4 linked regions of the Saccharomyces cerevisiae S288C genome follow. The protein of the gene in region 1 interacts with the protein of each later gene in a biochemical or structural test. Each region holds a gene or a part of one and is shown in the gene's direction. Other genes may lie near its edges.

The links.
Region 2: the proteins of INO2 (region 1) and TAF4 form a complex in vitro, tested with the Saccharomyces cerevisiae proteins (2 studies listed by BioGRID).
Region 3: the proteins of INO2 (region 1) and SWI1 form a complex in vitro, tested with the Saccharomyces cerevisiae proteins (2 studies listed by BioGRID).
Region 4: the proteins of INO2 (region 1) and INO4 form a complex in vitro, tested with the Saccharomyces cerevisiae proteins (4 studies listed by BioGRID, with this or other methods).

What each region holds. Positions count from the first base shown.
Region 1 is NC_001136.10:697,479-702,580, reverse strand, and holds INO2 (Ino2p), read left to right. Parts: upstream 1-3,112; coding exon 3,113-4,027; downstream 4,028-5,102. Other genes in the region: ECM18 (alpha/beta hydrolase family protein), read left to right, coding at 1-1,184; YDR124W (uncharacterized protein), read right to left, coding at 1,292-2,266; serine/threonine protein kinase KIN1, read right to left, coding at 4,687-5,102. UniProt on the Saccharomyces cerevisiae protein: Positive regulatory factor required for depression of the coregulated phospholipid biosynthetic enzymes. Also involved in the expression of ITR1.
Region 2 is NC_001145.3:273,268-278,711, forward strand, and holds TAF4 (Taf4p), read left to right. Parts: upstream 1-2,777; coding exon 2,778-3,944; downstream 3,945-5,444. Other genes in the region: AIM34 (Aim34p), read left to right, coding at 1-447; MVP1 (Mvp1p), read left to right, coding at 750-2,285; PLB2 (lysophospholipase), read right to left, coding at 4,294-5,444. UniProt on the Saccharomyces cerevisiae protein: Functions as a component of the DNA-binding general transcription factor complex TFIID. Binding of TFIID to a promoter (with or without TATA element) is the initial step in pre-initiation complex (PIC) formation.
Region 3 is NC_001148.4:518,501-526,799, forward strand, and holds SWI1 (Swi1p), read left to right. Parts: upstream 1-2,513; coding exon 2,514-6,458; downstream 6,459-8,299. Other genes in the region: CTF19 (Ctf19p), read left to right, coding at 1-260; IRC15 (Irc15p), read right to left, coding at 234-1,733; histone deacetylase HST2, read right to left, coding at 7,310-8,299. UniProt on the Saccharomyces cerevisiae protein: Involved in transcriptional activation. Component of the SWI/SNF complex, an ATP-dependent chromatin remodeling complex, which is required for the positive and negative regulation of gene expression of a large number of genes.
Region 4 is NC_001147.6:109,490-113,972, reverse strand, and holds INO4 (Ino4p), read left to right. Parts: upstream 1-2,086; coding exon 2,087-2,542; downstream 2,543-4,483. Other genes in the region: YOL107W (uncharacterized protein), read right to left, coding at 843-1,871; ZEO1 (Zeo1p), read right to left, coding at 3,335-3,676; SHR5 (Shr5p), read right to left, coding at 4,084-4,483. UniProt on the Saccharomyces cerevisiae protein: Transcriptional activator of phospholipid synthetic genes (such as INO1, CHO1/PSS, CHO2/PEM1, OPI3/PEM2, etc.).

The sequences.
Region 1 (5,102 bases):
AGGAAAATGCTGTCAAAAAATCTGGATTCAAGCTATGGTCAAGCCATTTGAATAACCCACACAAAACTTATATGCGGCTGGAGGAATTACAGAGACGTATTATGGAAGAGGTACACGTTGAAGGTATTAAAAAGAATGATAAGTTATTCAACGAAATAAATCAATGGCATTTCCAAAATGAAAACACAAGTACTGTTCGAACACCAACATTGCTGATACATGGCTATGCCGCATCTTCAATGTCTTTTTTCAGAAATTATCCAGGTCTGTCCAAGCACATCCGAAATTTATACTCAATTGACATGCCAGCGAGCGGATTGTCTTCAGTACCGTCTTTAGAGATCAATACAACAACACCTCTGCCGTTAGATATCAAATTTATTGGAGAAAATAAATTTAAGGTTCCATATACAATAAATGCAAATCACAATAAATTTGTGATTCAAATGTACGAAGATTTCTATCTCGACAGAATCGAGCAATGGCGCATTGATAACAAATTGGGCAAAATGAATGTTGTGGGGCATTCTTTTGGCGGATATTTATCTTTTAAATATGCTGTTAAATATCCAAACTCGGTAAACAAACTTTGCTTGGTATCCCCACTAGGAGTGGAAAGGAATATCTGGTCTGTAAATAATAATTTCCACTCCAACACTCTTTATACTATCGATTTTAAAAATCCAAATTCCAAGTTTTACTCCAAAAGAAATATGATTCCAAAATACTTATTTGAACAACAATTTCACATTTTGAGAATGATGGGACCATTAGGAGCTAAGTTATGTTGGAATTACATAATGGCGGCATATAGCCGAGTCCCATCGTTGGCATACAAAGAGTACATATTTGAACTGTTTTACGGTAAGGGAGGTATACCGGAGGTTACGACAGATATTTTCAAAGCGTTATTTTCAAGATGTATCCTAGCAAAGGACCCCTTGATGGATTCTCTGCAATATTTAAATGTTAAGAAATTATTGATAGTATATGGGCAATATGATTGGATGAATAAAAAAGCCGGTATGTTCATGGTCAAAGAGTTGAACAATTTAAAGAACTGTCTAGAAGGAGCAAGTTATTTAGAAATACCTTCTTCCGGTCACAATCTTTTTTTAGATAACCCAGAATCATTCAACCAATCTATAGTGTCCTTCTTATCAGACGAAACTAAATCGCCTTGATAGCAACCAAATCAAGTAGCAAAGAGCCAAAAAATGTGTTAATGTATGCTATCCCCCTTTTTGCTTTTGCGCTCCTCACACCTCTTTTCTTTGCTTTGAAATTTTTCTCAAATAAAATCTTTACAATCATCGCTACTAGTTAATTCATCCAATTTAGTGAGGAATAACGGATCAAATTCCACTAAATTTTCTAATCGAGATATGCTATTCGAATAATCCTCCGATACAGGGTCTTTCGGATATTCCCTGGGGAAATACTCTGTGTCACTTTCTTTTGAAGGAAGGATCATCGAGGGTGAAGAATCGCTTCCACTTGACTGTTGTAACAAATCTTTTTCTACCTTAACCATTTTATTTACATCAAATCGACGACTATGGTATGATTTTTTCTGTTTTTGGGCTAGGTCATTTAAATCATCAAGTGATATGGTCTTCTGCTTGAAATCTTTGTTGCACAAGCATTTCGCAATTTCGAAAACATTTTTCATGATTACTTTCTTCACAGTTTCTTTCTTAAAAATGGTCATTGCGGCGGTCACTCCTGTAAGCTCGTCCAAAATCTCAAGGCTGAAGGGAGATTGCGGTAGAACATTCATAATTATCGTGCACATCAATTTCAGTCGATCCGCTTTCTGGAGGTGGTCCGGCTCTTTATGTTCTACATCTTTTGGCCACCATTCCGGCCTTCCAGCATTGCCTTTAATGTATGGAAACCTGGTTTTCTTCCTTGGCTCAATAATTTTTATCCACAACTTAGCAATCGCCTTGCATGGGACCTGTCTTAATAATTTAAAAGCCGTATACAGATAATTCTGTATTAGTAGGGGTTGATCTAAGGGTAGCATGATCGCTGGTTGGATATTTTCTTCATAAACAGTTATTCTTTTCCTATTTACCAATGGATCGAACGTGAGTGGAGGGTTTTTTTCAATTGAAGATGATATAAAACTCTCTGAGAACAAGTTTTTTGGAATTGACTCACTTATTAAATGGTCTTTTTCCTTTATGAACACCATAAACTCATATCCTTGACCATTTAGCAGCGCCAGCGCCCTTCTAAGCTCTTCCATACCTATACGCATGTACTTAAGCTGACTCTATCGAAAAATGACGTACGCACAAATGCACATGTATACATACGCAATCCATCCTTTATATAAGCTGAGAAACAAGCAGAGGAACCTGCTTCAGTTGGGCCATCCCTTCGATGCTATATACTTCTAATCTTAAACTCTTCACTAAGACTTCGCAGGCACCGCTTCAAGGATGTCTCAGGTCGCGAGATTACTACAACAACTTAAAACAACCCTGATGCAACTGCAGCGTGCTGTTTTTCAACAGTACAAGAAAAAGTTCCATATTGTGCCATTGCCGATGCCATTGCAAAGGAATTTGTTCTCAGTCGCATCTCTCCTTTACTGCAGATCTGAGTTACTTTGAATCCTTGATAATATGGATCGAGTGCCTCTTCCATTATTTCTATTATTATAATCTCAACGCTTAATATGAATTAACCAACCACACTCAAACCAAATCTACGCCAGCTACAAATGGTAGGAGAATGAAGACACACCAGGACTCAAACAGGATTTCCCAACAATGTCTTTCAACATGCTGCTTGCCGGTCACTACTGCACTTCCTGCGCCTTTTCCGTTGAATCACCCTCCATAGTGCGGCAGATGGAACCAACCTAACCTTTTTTCAGCAGGAGGTAAAAAATTCGCCGGTTTTCTATCTCCCTCCGTCATCGGCAGGGCGTTGACACCTGTCCAAGTACAACACACATGTGAATTTTTTTCAGTGATTAAAGGCTCATCTCATCATATCTTATTGTAATCAGTATTTGGCGTCATAAGCAATTCGAAATTGGTTCGGTTCCATCTCGTTGACGTGCAATAAATAAATACATGGAACAGCAAAGGAGAAAATGCAACAAGCAACTGGGAACGAATTACTGGGTATCCTAGATCTGGATAACGATATAGACTTTGAAACTGCTTACCAAATGCTCAGCAGTAACTTCGACGACCAAATGTCTGCGCACATACATGAAAACACGTTTAGTGCAACTTCCCCTCCTCTGTTAACACACGAGCTCGGCATAATTCCTAACGTAGCAACCGTGCAACCCTCTCACGTAGAAACTATACCTGCCGATAACCAAACTCATCATGCTCCTTTGCATACTCATGCACACTATCTAAATCACAACCCTCATCAACCAAGCATGGGTTTTGATCAAGCGCTTGGTCTCAAGTTGTCTCCTTCCAGTTCGGGGTTGTTGAGCACGAATGAATCGAATGCCATTGAACAGTTTTTAGACAATCTAATATCACAGGATATGATGTCTTCCAACGCTTCCATGAACTCCGAATCACATCTACATATAAGATCACCAAAAAAGCAGCATAGGTATACCGAATTAAATCAAAGATATCCTGAAACACATCCACACAGTAACACAGGGGAGTTACCCACAAACACAGCAGATGTGCCAACTGAGTTCACCACGAGGGAAGGACCTCATCAGCCTATCGGCAATGACCACTACAACCCGCCACCGTTTTCAGTACCTGAGATACGAATCCCAGACTCTGATATTCCAGCCAATATCGAGGACGACCCTGTGAAGGTACGGAAATGGAAACACGTTCAAATGGAGAAGATACGAAGAATAAACACCAAAGAAGCCTTTGAAAGGCTCATTAAATCAGTAAGGACCCCACCGAAGGAAAACGGGAAAAGAATTCCCAAGCATATTCTTTTAACTTGTGTAATGAACGATATCAAGTCCATTAGAAGCGCAAATGAAGCACTACAGCACATACTGGATGATTCCTGAGCTCATACAAGCTATTAGTGATGAAAATGGCCTCCCGTTGGATGTATTTTTAGTTAATTTCGTATACATGGGCGAAAATATCATATGATTGCAAAGCTGGTCATGTAAATATATTCATTATAAACCAGACGGTAGAAAATCTCGTTTCTTTCCAGAGTGTAGCGTAGATTTTTGCGGACAAGAATTACCAGTATCTTCATTTTATTTAGAAGTTAAGAGAATCCGGAGGCAATGATGGTGAAGTAAAGAAATCTTTCAACGGCGAAGTATAATCTGTCTTCACAAACAGAATAACTGCGTACAAACTCGCAGTTATATGACCGTTACGAGTTGTATTGATTCAGTGAAGTAATAGTCCTATTACATCCATATGAATCCTGTCCTGGTAAACGGTGCAATGATCGCTCTACGTATACAAATTCTCTCCATCAATCGATGATGAACTGCTTTACACATAAAGTACGTGCCATTTATTTATAAATAATACCAATTAAGGGACGAAAATATTAACTGCTGAGTGTCTGCTTAGGTCCATTCTATTTCTTCTTTCCAAAAGAGAATAAAAAGAATCTATATATATATATAAATTTCTATCGAACGGATATTCTTGTTTTCGAATATCAAAAATGTAAGCTGTGGTTTCTCAGGGAACGTGTTACTTACAACTTTAGTTCTTTTAATATACTAGAAGCCAGCTCTTTATACAACCAAGTGTTCCCAGAAATTTTCTTAAAATGCACACCGGCTAAACCAACAATACGAACCTTGACGATATGAATTTCGAATTTGATGGGCTCTTTTTCTGTTGTAGTCATGCCTTCGCTACCGTCACCTTGTTGGTGGATGTTCTCCAAAGATGTTCCCGAATGCTTATCATCTCCATAGGTTTCGGTAATAGATGTTTTTCTCTGGTGAATGGAATTAGTTGTCAAAGGAGAAGAAGGTGAGTATTTATTAGAGCCTTGACGTCTAATGGATTCGTGGTGCGAAAGTGGCATGATCGATCTTGGAGTCCCTTCTCTCTTCGCTGCCACATTATTGGAAGAGAACCTTTGCATACAAACAAAACCACCCT
Region 2 (5,444 bases), on another chromosome or scaffold:
ACCCAAACGAAGAGCCACTTGAGCTTTTTAATGAATAATAACGATATAACACCTTTTCAAAAATTTACAGTTAAAGTTCTCAAAGAGCAGTGCAAATCAAGAGGGTTAAAATTATCAGGTCGCAAATCAGATTTGCTACAAAGACTTATCACGCACGATTCATGTTCAAATAAAAAAAGTAGTGTGAAGATAAATGAACCCAAAAAAAAGAGGATATTAATAAATGATCCAATCAAAATCACGAAGAAATTGGTTAGTGATAAAACTTTTAGAACTATTGAAAAAAATATTTCTTCACTGCAGAACACACCTGTTATCGAAACTCCCTGCGACGTTCATTCACACTTGCAACCAAGGGATAGAATATTCTTATTAGGATTTTTCATGTTATCGTGTCTTTGGTGGAACCTCGAACCTCAGGAATCTAAACCTACCATTGACCATTAGAAATATAATTCTAGCACTGTAATTAATTGAACTGTATATTCTTTCATAATTTATTAAGACACTTTTACTTTTCTCTACGCTCTCAATAAGTTATTGTTGATCCAGATCATCTCGATATTGCCGTCATTTTCGGTTAAGGTAGGCGCTTTTACGAAACACATGCCAGAAAAAAAAGTGAGGAAGGAAGGTACAATGAAAACAGGGTGAACGCCACTTCTTTTCACCCAAGTTGTAAGAGAAATAATAGTAAAAGCAATCGAATTTGGATTCTATAAAACACCACTGAGGCGAAAAAAAAAGTAATGGACAATTACGAAGGCAGTGATCCTTGGAATACCAGTTCTAATGCATGGACTAAGGATGATGATCACGTCGTTTCTACCACCAATAGTGAACCCAGCCTCAACGGAATCTCTGGTGAGTTTAACACCTTGAACTTTTCAACACCTCTGGACACAAATGAGGAGGATACTGGTTTTTTACCGACCAACGATGTGCTTGAAGAAAGTATCTGGGATGATAGTAGAAATCCTCTTGGTGCAACTGGCATGAGCCAAACTCCCAATATAGCGGCCAATGAGACAGTTATAGATAAGAATGATGCTAGAGATCAGAATATAGAAGAATCTGAAGCCGACTTACTTGATTGGACTAACAACGTTAGAAAAACATACAGACCTCTAGATGCCGACATCATCATCATTGAAGAGATACCTGAAAGAGAGGGTTTACTTTTCAAGCACGCAAACTATTTAGTGAAACATCTCATTGCTCTTCCAAGTACCTCGCCTTCTGAAGAACGTACTGTCGTAAGAAGATACTCTGATTTCTTATGGTTAAGAGAAATTCTGCTGAAAAGATACCCTTTTAGAATGATCCCTGAGCTACCTCCCAAAAGAATTGGATCCCAAAACGCAGACCAGCTTTTTTTGAAGAAAAGAAGAATAGGGTTATCTAGATTCATTAATTTGGTAATGAAACACCCTAAATTAAGTAATGATGATTTAGTGTTAACATTTTTAACCGTACGCACTGACTTAACAAGTTGGAGAAAGCAAGCAACCTATGACACTTCAAACGAATTCGCTGATAAAAAGATATCACAAGAATTTATGAAAATGTGGAAAAAAGAGTTTGCAGAACAATGGAACCAGGCTGCATCTTGTATCGATACCTCGATGGAATTATGGTATAGAATCACGCTTCTCTTGGAAAGGCATGAAAAAAGAATTATGCAAATGGTACACGAAAGAAATTTTTTTGAGACACTAGTGGATAACTTTAGCGAAGTGACTCCAAAACTATATCCGGTACAACAAAATGATACCATATTGGACATTAATAACAATTTGAGTATAATTAAAAAACACCTAGAAACTACGAGTAGTATCTGCAAACAAGAAACAGAAGAAATATCGGGAACGTTATCGCCAAAATTCAAAATTTTCACGGACATCTTACTTTCTTTGAGAAGTTTATTTGAGAGATACAAAATTATGGCTGCAAATAACGTAGTTGAATTGCAAAGACATGTCGAATTGAACAAAGAGAAATTGGAATCGATGAAAGGAAAACCAGATGTCAGTGGAGCAGAGTACGACAGGATAAAAAAAATCATACAGAAGGATAGAAGAAGCATAATAGAGCAATCAAACAGAGCTTGGTTGATAAGACAATGTATTTTGGAAGAGTTTACAATCTTTCAGGAAACCCAATTTTTAATAACACGTGCCTTCCAGGATTGGGCAAAATTGAACTCCAACCATGCCGGTCTCAAACTGAATGAGTGGGAAAAGCTCGTCACAAGCATCATGGATATGCCGATTTCTCGTGAATAAATTTTACGGAGTGAAGACTAACCACTTAGTCTGCCAAAACATTATTGAAGGATATCCAACAGATGTAATTGACGTACTAAACAGAGAAATAATTAGGTAAATAGAGTAAAGATATGTACCACTATAAATTGTTATTTATTTGTTTTTCAATTTTAAATACAGTGTATGAAGCCTAATTCGGATATTATAGGTTCCCATATTTATTAGAAGGTAACAAATCTTTCGATAATTTGGATTAGATAGCCTTATAATATGCCGGACAAACGACGCCCGCTAAAAATGTGTATTCTCCAGTATTCAATATTCGTCATAAATGATCTTAATTTGAAAAAGTGAATGAACTGAACATCGATAAGTCGAATGTGGTCCGTGTAATAGCTCAAATGGGAAAGTTTTTCTAATCAGCATTCTGTATAACCTCACCTGCACGTAATCTAAAGTGCTTTTATCGATTGGTAGTGCACATATTGTCTTTCGGCATCATATCACATAATGGCAAATTCGCCGAAAAAGCCATCTGATGGCACTGGAGTATCAGCGTCAGACACGCCTAAATATCAACATACCGTCCCAGAAACGAAACCAGCATTTAATTTGTCACCAGGTAAAGCTAGTGAGCTATCACATAGCCTTCCGTCGCCTAGCCAGATAAAATCAACCGCACATGTATCTTCAACTCACAATGATGCGGCAGGTAATACGGATGATTCTGTTCTTCCTAAAAATGTATCACCCACAACTAATTTGAGAGTTGAAAGTAATGGAGATACAAACAATATGTTCTCTAGCCCTGCTGGACTAGCTCTACCAAAAAAGGATGATAAAAAAAAAAACAAGGGTACGAGTAAAGCAGATTCTAAAGATGGCAAAGCATCCAACTCCTCAGGACAGAATGCACAACAACAATCAGACCCAAATAAAATGCAAGATGTCCTTTTTTCCGCAGGTATCGATGTTAGGGAGGAGGAGGCTCTTCTAAATTCATCTATTAATGCCTCAAAATCCCAAGTTCAAACAAATAACGTTAAGATCCCCAACCATTTACCATTCCTTCACCCGGAACAAGTTTCCAATTATATGAGGAAAGTCGGAAAAGAGCAAAACTTCAACCTGACCCCTACAAAGAATCCTGAAATTTTGGACATGATGTCAAGTGCCTGCGAAAACTATATGAGAGATATCCTAACAAATGCCATTGTCATCTCCCGACATAGAAGAAAAGCAGTCAAGATAAATTCTGGTAGAAGAAGTGAAGTTTCTGCGGCTTTAAGAGCCATTGCACTAATTCAAAAAAAAGAAGAAGAAAGGCGTGTGAAAAAAAGAATTGCGTTGGGACTCGAGAAGGAAGATTATGAAAATAAGATTGATTCCGAAGAGACGTTACACAGAGCATCGAACGTTACGGCTGGCCTTAGAGCAGGTAGTAAAAAACAGTATGGTTGGCTAACTTCATCAGTAAATAAGCCGACGTCCTTGGGAGCAAAATCTTCAGGCAAAGTCGCCTCCGACATCACGGCTAGAGGAGAAAGTGGGCTAAAGTTTAGAGAAGCTAGAGAGGAGCCTGGTATAGTAATGAGGGATTTACTCTTTGCTCTCGAAAATAGGCGCAACAGCGTTCAGACTATTATTTCAAAGGGTTATGCCAAGATCAGAGATTAATTGCTCATCTCTTATACTGTCTATAATATTTAAAGGTATAGTGTTTCAAATAAACTAGGATATAAAAAAAACAAGATTGACTAACATAAAGAAGGCCGGTTGGTGTCGCTTAGTCAAGTCATCGCCAAGCTATTGAGGACCATTCAACCTTTTTGCTTTGTTCATTTTAACTTTATAATAAGGAAGATATATCAATCCTTGAAGTTAGGCATCCTTCTACCAAAAATAGCGGAAAGAGGAGTGATAATCGGGAAAAAAATTTTCATATTAATACACATTTTTATACATTTACTTGTCATTATCCTTTTGGGTGAAAGGATGTATTATGTATTGTTTCTCAGAAGGGCTTCTAAATTAGTCCAAATAATGCTGTTATGGCACCTAACAAACTCATTAGAGTATTAGTGTTCGCATAGGAAATAGCCGCAGCATTCGCTTTGTTTGCCGTAGAGGAAGAAGAACGAGCTGTAGAGGAAGAAATTGAAGAGGATGAAGAATTTGAGTTTAAAGTTGTATTTGACGAAGAGTTTGAGTTAGAAGTGACATTTGATGAAGTCGAGGTTGTTGAGTTTGATGTAGTATTTCCGGAGGTTGATGAACCTAAGAGAGCCGTTATTGGAATACCGTCAGTAGCCTCAGAGATTGCAGAGGCAATAGCACCGCTTTGATACGTACTATTTCCCGATAGTTCAGGATTAGCTGAGGTACTTAGTGTGCCGTTCCAGCAGTAATCCGCAAAACATTTGGTACATTCAGGGGGCAAGGTGGCATTTAGGCTTTCTTGCTTACGTCTAATGATGGCACAACCTATGCAACCTAAAAAGTTAGAGTCATCCGTAAAGTTGCCCATTGTAGCAGCTTCAAAACCATTTCTGATCATTCCAAGACGTTCTGTAACATTGTAGTTCATCTTCAAAGTACTTTGGTTACCATTGAATGAATGTTTTGTGTTTGGGATATATACAACTAAAGGTGGAATATACTCCAAGTCCGTCAAATTTTTTGCATCACAACCAAAAAACGTTGGCTTATTAGTTAAGCCCAAGTTAAGGAAGGTGTTAACGTCTGGAACATATGGGAAAGCCATTCCTTTACCTTGCTTAGAATACTGGCGCTCATAAGTGTTCGTCATGCACACACCACTTGGCCATGATTCATCAGTATTGTCGGATATATCCAATGCGAACACCACATCCAAGTCACGTTCCTTCTTGATTAGTGGAACCAACGGCAAATTTTGGCCGTCCTCACCACCATCAACTAAAAACAAATCATCGGCATCAACAATACTGGAAGTGTAATTGCGGTCAACAAATTCTGTATCCTTGAATGGATTTGCAGCGTAAATTGCAATATCATCGTCATCTTGGGATAGGTTGTTAACGTACTTGTTGGCAAAACTATTAATCATTTTATAATAGGTCGAAGTGGAAGCTTCCAGGGAAAATTCGTTGAATAAACTGGCGGATGTGGCAATTACAAATCCAGCATTATCGTAAC
Region 3 (8,299 bases), on another chromosome or scaffold:
GAGTTATTAGAGAAGGAAGACTCACGACGATAAAATTGCAGATAAATTTCATCATTACAATGCCCGGTGAGAGAGGCAAACCTCGTAACTGTTTTCTGCCCATGAGTAAAATTTCAATAGCGCTATGGAAGGGGGGAGAAAGATTTAACCAGATAGATTTGGACGAGATATGCTACGGACTTATCAAGGAATATGGTGTGAAAACCGGGTTAAAGGAGATCTGCAACGTTTGCCTATTCCCGGACATGTACGCCAGGTGATGTTCCATTTGCCATTGCCAACTGGACGGCTTGCTTAAACGATTCCGATAAGCTCGGATGAGGGAACGGTACTTTACAGACATCATGGGCGGTAAGGCCAAGCGACACCGCCATCGATGCTTGCGACAGCAATTCATTTGCATCGTCGTTTATCATATGAACGCCTAGTATTTTCATGTCACGAGAATCTATCAGAACTTTAATGAAAGGAGAAACTGTAGTATTCTCTTCCCGTGGTAATAACGTGTTATATCTAACGTTCTGTGAGAACAAAACCCTGCCTTTTTGATATGGGATGCGAGCCTTTGCCAACCCCTCCTCAGTGTATCCGACCCAGCCAATCTGAGGCTGACAGTACAGCACATTTGGTGGGAAGCCACAATTCGAGGTTCCGTCGGAGCCTGTACAGCCTATTGATTGAATGGCCCTTATAGCTTGTTCTTCCGCTTTCAGCGCCAGCATGGGGCCCAATGTAACGTCTCCTATGGGTTTAATATGAGGGTACTTTAGCAGACTTTGGGTTTGTACGTCAACATTTTCTACAAAATCCCGTTCGTCTAGACCAATGCTGGAAATATCTAAACCTTTTAGCAGGGGACGTCTACCAATAGAAACCATCAAGACGTCGCAATGATGTACATATGTTTTCTTTGACACCTTGTTAAGCAAGGTGATGTTCAGCTGACCGGCAGCATCGGCTTCCGCGAGCTGCACTCTAGTGTCTAAAAGAAAAGCTATACCCTGACACTGCAAGAGGGTCTTCGTGGCAGAAGCCAACTCATTGTCCATATTTTGACAGATCTCGCTTTGAGATTCAACGATAGTAACCCGAGAGCCCAAATTATTGAATATGCATGCGATTTCTAGTCCAATTGTACCTCCTCCCATGATAGTAAAACGTGAAGGTATATAATCCAGTGACAATGCCTTATCAGATGAAATTATCTTGTCATTATCTATTGCAACACCAGGACACTGAATAACCGCAGATCCGGTCGCCACAACAATATATTTCGCCTCTACGATGAACGGTTTCATGCCGCGCTGCGCAATCTCAACGTGGTGAGGATCTTTGAAAGCAGCCGTGCCTTTATACACAGTAACATTATTTTTAGATAGCTCACGTTTATACACATTGCCCAACTCTTCTATATTATGTTTGAGTGCACTCTGGGCCGCCTGCATATCGAATTTTGCAGGAAACAGCCGCGTGCCACGTTGCTCGATAAGTTCTTGCTGTTGTAGCAGCCGATAAAGATAAGACTCATATAACAAGGTCTTGGACGGGACTGCCCCGTCTACAAGGTAGGCGCCCCCCAGCGAGGCACGCTGGTCAACACATGCTGTGAGCAGGCCTGCTTGCGAAGCCTGCATCGCTGCAGTAAAGCCACCAGGCCCGCAACCAATTACCAGGACATCGTAAACTGCCGCAAAATCCTCCATCGTGCTTAATATTTCGTCTTCACCTCCCATTACCAAAAATGCTCACCGTTAATTATATCATACTTCTCTTCTCCTCTCGTAAAATCGTGCGCATGTTAAATAGCCGCCGAAACAGCAGATGCATGCCTGCAGGTCTGGGTGTACCCCCTGCCTGAGTGTTCCACCCAGGCCTCGCCGGAGGAAAATGCCACCGCACTCAAGTTCGCACAGAAACTACCGCATAAATTTATTCTAACCCGGAACTGACGTTTATCGTGATATGAACTTTGGGTATCTCCGATTACGAAACGACGCCACCCCTCCTTCCCCAAAGCACCGAGAAAAGATTTTTTTTAAAACTGAACGCTGATTGACTTTACGTATTATTACCACTATGCATTATTGTTGTTTCTGTTGTGGTTGTTGCCAGTTGTAATCATATTCACATTGCGTTTTAGTCATAACCACCTTCCGGTATTCATCATTCGTATTGAATAACAATATTTATACCGCAAAACACTATACGGCAAGGCAACTGATTACACTTTGTTTACCTTATTTTTTTATTATTTATTTTTCTAGAAAGTATTGTTGTGTGGCTCTATCCTTATTACACCATCTCTGCTTTGGCATTTCGCGTTGTTTCCTCTCACGGATTGCAGATTATTGTTCACCAGGTAATAATCACTGACTGGCGGCTATTTTCCTATTACACTCATTATTCTTAAAATTTTCTTTTTCTATCTCTATTTTCTTTCTTTTCGTGTCTTATAATAATAATAATAATAATAATAATAAAAATAGTAATAATAAAAATAGTAATAAATAAAGATGGATTTCTTTAATTTGAATAATAATAATAATAATAATAATACTACTACTACTACTACTACTACCAATAACAATAATACTAATAATAATAATACTAATAATAATAATAATCCTGCTAATAATACCAATAACAACAATAGCACAGGCCATAGTAGTAATACTAATAACAATACTAATAACAACAATACGAATACCGGAGCCAGTGGTGTAGACGATTTTCAGAATTTTTTCGACCCAAAACCTTTTGACCAGAATTTGGATTCCAACAATAACAACAGTAATAGTAATAACAATGATAACAATAACAGTAACACGGTAGCCTCCAGCACGAACTTTACTTCTCCAACAGCAGTCGTTAATAATGCCGCTCCTGCTAATGTTACCGGTGGAAAAGCTGCTAATTTCATTCAGAACCAGTCTCCCCAATTCAATTCTCCATATGACTCAAACAATTCCAACACAAATTTAAACAGCCTGTCTCCTCAGGCTATTTTAGCCAAGAATTCAATCATTGATTCTTCCAATTTACCTCTTCAAGCTCAACAACAGCTATATGGCGGTAACAATAATAATAATAGCACCGGAATTGCGAACGATAATGTAATAACACCCCATTTTATCACCAATGTTCAATCCATCAGTCAAAATTCCTCATCTTCTACTCCGAACACAAACTCTAACTCTACTCCGAATGCAAATCAACAATTTTTGCCATTCAATAACAGTGCTTCCAATAATGGTAATTTGACGTCTAACCAGCTTATTTCTAATTACGCTGCTTCAAATTCAATGGACAGATCATCCTCTGCAAGCAATGAATTTGTTCCGAACACAAGTGACAACAACAACAACAGTAATAACCATAATATGCGTAATAACAGCAATAATAAAACGAGCAATAACAATAATGTCACTGCCGTGCCTGCTGCAACTCCCGCTAATACCAATAATTCAACTTCAAACGCAAATACAGTGTTCTCTGAAAGAGCTGCAATGTTTGCCGCTTTGCAGCAAAAGCAGCAGCAACGTTTTCAGGCTCTACAGCAGCAGCAGCAGCAGCAACAAAATCAACAACAGCAAAATCAACAACCACAACAGCAACAACAGCAACAACAGAATCCCAAATTTTTGCAGAGTCAACGGCAGCAACAACAAAGATCTATTTTACAAAGTCTGAACCCGGCATTACAAGAGAAAATATCTACTGAATTGAATAACAAACAATATGAACTTTTTATGAAATCTTTGATTGAAAACTGTAAAAAAAGAAATATGCCGTTACAATCAATACCAGAAATCGGCAACAGAAAAATAAATCTTTTTTATCTTTATATGTTGGTTCAAAAATTCGGTGGTGCAGATCAAGTAACAAGGACCCAACAGTGGTCTATGGTGGCCCAAAGGCTGCAAATTTCCGATTACCAACAATTAGAATCAATCTATTTTAGAATTTTATTACCTTACGAAAGACACATGATTTCCCAAGAAGGTATAAAGGAAACTCAAGCGAAAAGAATATTCTTGCAACAGTTCTTACAAGAACTATTGAAGAAAGTTCAACAACAGCAGCAGGCCGCTGCATTGGCCAATGCCAACAATAACATTAATAGTGCATCGTCAGCACCAACCCCCGCGGCTCCTGGCGCGTCCGTTCCTGCTACAGCAGCACCAGGAACAGAAGCAGGGATCGTTCCGGTTTCAGCAAACACTCCAAAAAGCTTGAATAGCAATATTAATATCAACGTAAATAATAACAATATTGGCCAACAGCAAGTTAAGAAGCCAAGAAAGCAAAGAGTGAAAAAAAAGACCAAAAAGGAATTGGAACTAGAACGTAAAGAAAGGGAGGATTTTCAGAAACGACAACAAAAACTTTTAGAGGATCAACAAAGGCAACAGAAATTGCTATTAGAGACAAAATTACGTCAACAATATGAAATCGAACTAAAAAAATTGCCTAAAGTCTACAAGAGATCAATTGTTAGGAACTACAAACCCCTAATCAACCGCCTCAAGCATTACAATGGTTACGATATCAATTACATCTCTAAAATAGGAGAGAAAATAGATTCCAACAAGCCAATTTTTCTCTTCGCGCCAGAGTTAGGTGCAATTAATTTACATGCTTTATCAATGTCCCTCCAATCGAAGAATCTTGGAGAAATAAACACCGCCTTGAACACCTTGTTGGTCACAAGCGCTGACTCGAACTTAAAAATATCTCTGGTCAAATACCCTGAATTATTAGACTCCTTGGCAATACTCGGCATGAATTTACTGTCAAATTTGTCACAAAATGTTGTTCCATACCATCGAAACACTTCTGACTATTATTATGAGGATGCTGGATCAAATCAATACTATGTTACCCAACACGATAAAATGGTTGATAAAATTTTTGAAAAGGTAAACAACAACGCTACACTTACACCGAATGATTCTAACGATGAAAAAGTCACTATCCTGGTAGATTCTTTAACAGGTAATCAATTGCCCACCCCTACTCCTACTGAAATGGAGCCTGATCTCGACACTGAATGTTTTATAAGTATGCAGTCGACATCTCCCGCAGTTAAACAGTGGGACTTATTGCCTGAACCAATAAGATTCCTCCCTAACCAATTTCCTTTGAAAATTCACAGAACTCCTTATTTGACTTCTTTGAAAAAAATCAAGGATGAAATTGATGATCCATTTACAAAAATAAATACCAGAGGGGCAGAGGATCCCAAAGTTCTGATTAACGATCAACTGTCTACCATCTCGATGATTTTGAGGAATATTTCATTCTCCGATAACAACTCCAGAATCATGTCGAGAAATTTTTACCTAAAGAGATTTATATCTGATCTACTTTGGTTAGTCTTAATCCATCCAGAAAACTTTACATGCAATAGGAAAATACTAAATTTCAAGAAGGATTTGGTTATTGTTTTATCAAATATTTCTCATTTATTAGAGATCGCTTCGTCCATTGATTGCTTGTTAATTCTTATTCTAGTCATAAGTTTTGGTCAACCAAAACTCAATCCAATGGCGTCTTCGTCATCATTTGGCTCTGAATCTTTGACCTTCAACGAATTCCAGTTGCAATGGGGAAAATATCAAACTTTCGGTGTAGATATTTTGGCCAAATTATTTTCATTGGAAAAACCGAACCTAAATTATTTCAAATCAATCCTTCTGAACAAAAACACAGGTAACAACCTCTATGATCGCAACAGTAACAACAACCACAAGGACAAAAAGTTGTTACGAAGACTTTTGAATTTATACAATGATAACAATAAAAATAATAACAATAGGCACAACTTGCTAAATGATGTGGTTTCGTTTTTATTTTCTGCCATACCGCTGCAGCAAGTGTTATCGCAATCAGCTGATCCAAGTTTGCTGATCGACCAATTTTCTCCGGTAATTTCTCAGAGTCTAACTAGCATCTTAGTCATTGTACAAAAAATATTGCCGTTATCCAATGAAGTATTTGAAATCAGTGAGAATAATTCAGACAGTAACAGTAACAATAACGGCAACAAAGATTCTAGCTTCAATTTCAACAAGAATTTACCATTTGTGTGGTTGAGCTCTGAAGAAAATATTGGATCTGGACTATTGAAGTTAAGTGAGATAATATTGAATATTAACAATTCCACAAGTAAGAATACTTTGTTACAGCAACAAAATTATTCAAAGGTGCTCCTACCGTCAATTAACATATCCTGTGTTCAGTTAATCAAATGTTTGGTTGAAAAAAGTATTTGTTTTGAAAACTGCCTAAACAACGACCCGGAAATATTAAAAAAAATAGCATCGATTCCAAATTTGTTCCCCACGGATTTAGAAATTTTCCAGTTATTCACTAATCCATCAGTTGATATTCAAATAATAAACCAGTATCAATTACTTTACAATTTAAAAAATGATATCCTAACCAATTTGGAATGATGCGATTTTTTTAAACAATATTCTTTTACTGCTTATTTCTTCCTTGCGCACTATTTTCTTTTTATAAACCTATATAAAATGTTGTAACTAATATAATAGACCTTATGGAAACAATACAGTCGGAAGAGCGCCTTTAGTGCCAAAAGCCCAAATGAACGTATAGCTGCCATGAAGTCACATCTTGGGCGGCTCAACTAAACAATGGTTTTAGTAACTTCCCACTGGTCCCGTCGCGGCTACAAAAATTCCTTGAAATTGTATAAAGGAGTTTATGACTCCATTTCAGGCAGTAAATACAATTCATACACACCACACATACATTCAGAGTTAACGTTCGCTATAATAAAACGGTAGAGAGTCAGATGTGGAGTCAGCGTGGGGGGTGGGGTAACACTCCACCTTTGAAAACGGTGTGACTTCGCCCTTTCGATGGGAGGAGGTAAAGCTCAAATAGGACAGAATCATCCAAGAAAATTTCAAGCTGCCCACAAAGTCAAGATCGCTTCAGAAGCTGTTCGGCGCAGTATTGAGATGAATTGGCTGCATTGACGGTTCGGGAACCCATTCTACTTATCTATATATTCTGAGTACTTATCCAGAAAGAGAAAAAAGTCAGCTGGCGCCGTATTTTTTATCAAACCTAATTGGCTAAAGTAGAATTGCACGTCAGAGCTTACAAATTTTTCGATATCTATAAGGGGGTGGGGGGAAAGAATATGTATGCAATGTCAAACGCGTAGGAAAGCCAAGCTCAATTACGCGTCTCTTTTATTTTTAAACTATCAAATTGCCGCGCATGCTAGATGAATAAGGAAAAAAAAAGGGGGACGGAAAACATTGCAACCAACACATTATTCTTTAGCGGCTTTTTGTGAAGAAGAGGAGTTGCTTGCTCCATCTTCATCGCTGTCATGGCCATTGAGACGCTGTAGCTTCTTATCCTTCTTGTCTGCACTCTCATGTTCAGATTGATCCAAACTCAAATTCTCTAAATCATGTACAATTTCAAGTAATTGCTCTTTAGAGTTATCCCCCATTCCACCTTGGGCCGTAAGTATCTTTTCGAAATCTTCTTGCCAACCTAATTCTTCAACGAGTTGCTCGGCAAACTCATCCGAGTACTGATGAACTATTAAATCTGTAGGCCTCTTGTTAGCTTTAAAATCGCCCACCGTTTCCAAATTGCACAGAACTCTTTTTACCTTTCGAGGAATTTCTTCGGGCAGAGACGCAAAGGGATAAACGGCTAGTGAGGTGCCAACGACGATGACAAGAGGCTGCTGAGGATGTTTTCCAGATGTCGTGATTTTTTCACGAAGCCACTCTGAATCGTTTAACCAAGTTTCCGAAAAGGAATCCGGTAGATCTTCGCCAAAAAAAACTATTGCCGGCTTTACCAGTTCACCGCACACATCACACTTGACAAAATCCTTTATAGGATGCTCTGCCAGCTTGGATTTGAAAACCTGTGGGGGATAAACTTTACCACATCCGATACAATGACAGTGAGCAAAACTGCCATGGGCCTCGATGATCAGATCATCCTTAACACCGGCCTGTCTTTCTAAAGTGTCTATATTCTGGGTATATACTCTCTTCAAAACGTCTTTGTCTTGAAACAATTTCAAAAGATAGTGAAACTTAGAAGGTCTGAAATTTCCGGGATACAACTCTTTAGCCAAAGTGTAAAATGGCAAAGGATCCGATTGGAAAAAATCGACATCGAACACTGCTTCAGGGTACGGCAACTTCAACCTGGCCAAGTTATGGTACAGGCCAGTTCCCGGAGATCGGAAGTCTGGTATCCCACAAGAAGTGGATATCCCGGCACCCACCATAAA
Region 4 (4,483 bases), on another chromosome or scaffold:
TTAGTTTCATTTTTAAATTTTCTGATTCACTTCATTTGCAGCTTCTAATGATGTTTGTGGTACAAAAATATAAACAATTTTAAAATATTAAAAAAAAATGCTTCCAATCGGATTTGAACCGATGATCTCCACATTACTAGTGTGGCGCCTTACCAACTTGGCCATAGAAGCTAAATCTCTGAAAGCTGCGCTCTTCAAAGGCGAACCAAGCAAGATAAATTAATATTATTATGTAAAACTATCGTTTTCCTTTTGTTGATTCCTATATCCCGGAGAAGAACTACTAATTATCAAATTATTCACCAAATGATCAAATTTAGCAGCGTAGTGAGTGCCACTATGTAGATGTTGGAATAAAAACCAACTATCGTCTATCAACTAGTAGTCATACTATCAATATATTATCATATACGGTGTTAGATAGTGACATAAGTTATTATAGAAGCTGTCACCGAAGTTAGAGGAAGCTGAAATGCAAGGATCGATAATGTAATAGGATAATGAAACATATGAAATGGAATGAGGAATAATCGTAATATTGGTACATAGAAATATAGATTCCATTATGGGGATTCCTATATCATCGAGGAGAACTTCTAGTACATTCTGTATACCTAATATTATAGCCTTTATCAACGATGGAATCCCAACAATTATTTCAAAATTCACCCATTTCTCAGTAGAATTATTAATATTGGGGAATATATGGGTTTCTATGGTTCGATAGTACTGGCGCACATTCAGCATACAAATCCTACTACCTTGGTAAAGACCGAAATGCCAACAGCCGTCATTAAATCACGATATAATAGAGCATATTTCAAGTTATATAGATCCATATATCAAGGGTTTACCATACGCTCTTCCAAAACTTGTAAAGCTAACTGTCTTCGTCTTTCTTCTACAGTCATAATTTTTTTGGCGCCTCTACTTTCTGCGATGGTGTTCCCAATATCTATATCAATATCATGAAAAGGTTTAATGACTTTAAATTTTACAACAACTACATTATAAATGAAATTGAAAATCGGCCTCAAAATCGGCTTAATTAGATCAGGAAAGAAGTAAATCAATTGAAAAGTATCAGATGCATCGCCGACCAATATTTCCTGACCACCTTGAGAATTAGTTGTTGGCAAAGAGGGACAATTCAAGGGTGCAAGTTTCTGGAAAAACCTCAAGTACGACCAACTGGCAAAAAAGGTAACCCAAATGGAGAACAATTGAGCAAAATGATGAAACCATATTATTTGGGTTACCGTCATTGTAAACATTACAAAAATGGGTAGTAATTTGAACCTAAAGTTTTTGGCCAAAAATTGAGGTGTCTTCAGATGGATTATAGTTGTTTCAGGCAATAACTGTCTATAAATGATAGGGAAACCGATTAAAATTGTGTAGTTCCCGTCTAAGGGAATATCCAGCCTTACCTTATTAGAGAAAAAAGATACTAACAAAGTCAGCATGATGATCAGAACGTTTGTAAGAGAACCTAAAACTATGATAAATTTGAACATTTCTTTGGAAGAGTTCCAATTGCGTTCAATGAAGGATCCACCAATGATCAAATTCAATAAGTTCACTACCACCTTCCAAGCTTTAGTGTCGATGAAGTTGGATAGAACTAATGAGGTGGGGTACCTCCAAATCTGCGAAGGTACCATTTGCAAAAGCGGCGAAGTAATCAAGTTGTAGTCCAAGTTAGGGTCTTCAAGAACTAGCTTGTTGTACAAGGATCTCCTTATACAGAAAAGGGTTGCAGTTAAGCATATATAAGTGACTGTAATAAATTTAGTAGCATCAGGAATCTTATTGATATTTAAAAATGAATCCGGGATATTCAATTCTAGGAACCTCGAACTATATTGCATTATAGTGAACAAATATCTTTGTTATAAATAGATTAGTCGTCTTCTTTTTCTTGGCTTGGTTTGTATGAGCTTGTTACGTATCAAACAAAATATTCACATGTTTTTCTCACCTTAAAGACAGAGGCGCGATTGCGTTTGCGAAATTCCAATGCCAACAAGATAAGCTTGACGAAGGAGTTAAGAGGGCGGCTTGAACTAAAAAGAGAAAAGCAATAATGACGAACGATATTAAGGAGATACAAACAATACAGCCGGGATTGTCCGAGATTAAGGAGATAAAGGGTGAACTGGCTAATGTGAAGAAAAGGAAACGCAGGTCTAAGAAGATTAATAAATTGACTGATGGTCAAATACGTATAAATCATGTTTCGTCTGAAAAAAAAAGGAGAGAATTGGAAAGAGCTATATTTGACGAACTGGTAGCAGTAGTACCTGACCTGCAACCCCAGGAAAGTCGGTCAGAACTAATCATATACCTGAAAAGCTTGAGTTACTTAAGTTGGTTGTATGAAAGGAATGAAAAGCTGAGAAAACAAATCATAGCTAAGCATGAGGCAAAAACCGGCAGCAGCAGCAGCAGCGATCCCGTACAAGAACAAAATGGAAACATTCGGGATTTAGTACCGAAGGAGTTAATTTGGGAGCTGGGTGATGGACAGAGTGGTCAGTGATTCAAGGAGTAGGGTAAAGTAAGTAATATAAGCGAAGAAATTCTTCCCATACCTTTTCTTCACTTTGCAGAGGGGAGTGGTGCATATCCCACAAAGAAAAGTAGCAACAACAATGATATATATACGTTACTACTAATGCTTTCCTTCATCGAAAGTGTGCCGAAGTATTTATTTAATCTTTTAGTGTTCAACTTACTATAATGTGATACTTTTTCAATATTGTTTGCCGTTGAAGCGATAGTGCTTTATGTCATTTTATCTTTCTTTTACATTGTTTTATTTTAGAGCTAAAATTGAACATCAGTTTGCAAGAAGTCAGTTGGTTGGCCTTTGCTATTAAGAGACCATAATGTTATAGTGATTGAGATCAGTTTCACCAACTAATAACAATTAACCCGGGCGGTTAGTGTAGTGGTTATCATCCCACCCTTCCAAGGTGGGGACACGGGTTCGATTCTCGTACCGCTCATATTTTTACTTTCTTATCAAACTTTTTTTCCTCCGGGACGTGAAATAACCGCCGAGGTTATTCTCGGAGCATTCTTTTTTGTGGCTTTTGATCATCCATCATCATCATCATCATCATTATTACTACTACTACTACTACTACTATTATTATTATTATTATTATTATTATTAGTATTATTATTATTATATTGATTAGTTATTAGATAGATACAATTAAGAAAAATTTATGTAAAAGGTCAGAATAAACAGCATTTTTCTCCTCTTTTTTTATTTTTAAAAAAAGAAAAAGAAACTTCTAGTAAAGTGCAGCACATTCAAGTGTGATTAGTTGAAAATGGAAGCAATTTTACGGTTCAATTTCTTCAAGAAACCGCCTTCCTTCTTGGTTTCCTTCTTCTCACTGACGGCGGCGGAAGCTTGCTTCTTAGTTTCTTCAACTTTGTTGGCAGCTTCGGTCTTCTTTTGTTCGACACCATCAGCAATGTTTTGTTCTTCCTTCTTCACCTGTTCAGCTTCTGGAGTAGCTTCATTTTTTAGGTTGTCGATAGAAGCTTCAGCTTGTTCCTTTACTTCTTGGCCCTTGTTTTGCAAAGATTCTTTGGTTTCTTCCAACTTTTGTTGGACATCTTGGGCGGCAGTTTCAGCTTTGTTTTGAATTTCAGACATTATTAATTGATATAAACGTAGTTTTGTATGTTTCTTTGATTTGAACTTTTAAGTATACAGAGAAAAAAACCGATCAAAGAAAACTAAAGTATAATGAGGTTAAAAACGAAAGTAATAAAGTAGAAAGGCTATCAAGCAAACTGAGATGATCTTCGACGTAAAAACTCGCTCTATATATATACGCCATATAAGCCCATCGGCGATGGGGGACAACACGAAGAAACAAGAGAAGAGGAGAACCGCACAGAAAGCAGCAGAAACAGAGCAAACCAGCATTAACTAAAGATGATAAAAATAAAATTAGGTAAGAAACCTTAATTGGATATACAAAAATACACTGGAGGCACAAATCGCCATCGATATAAAACACGATAAAGCCCTGGTGCACCCATAAACCACACGTTTAACTATTTGGGTCGGGGCACGACGAAATCTAGGGATAGGCACCCGGACCGTCGGGGCAATACTAGGCGCACACCGCGCTCGTGAAGCAGACCTCCCGGCGAGTTTAGCTGCGCCACGTACTGCTCTAACGCGAGAGACTCCTGAAACACAGGTCTAGAAAGAAGGGGCCCCAAAACCCAGCTCCACAGACCGCCCGTAAGCATATCGAGCAACAGGCCACTTAAGTTACGCCACCCGAACACCTCACCTTCTTCACGCAGCAAGAATCCGTTTACCCGGTGCACAACCTCCGCGAGCTCTGCCGCACTAAGATATTCTGACAGAGGCGAGACGGAGGAGCAGCCAAACACGTGATCCCCAATGTCGTAACGCCCGCACCGCACAAAGCTAGTGCCATCGTCG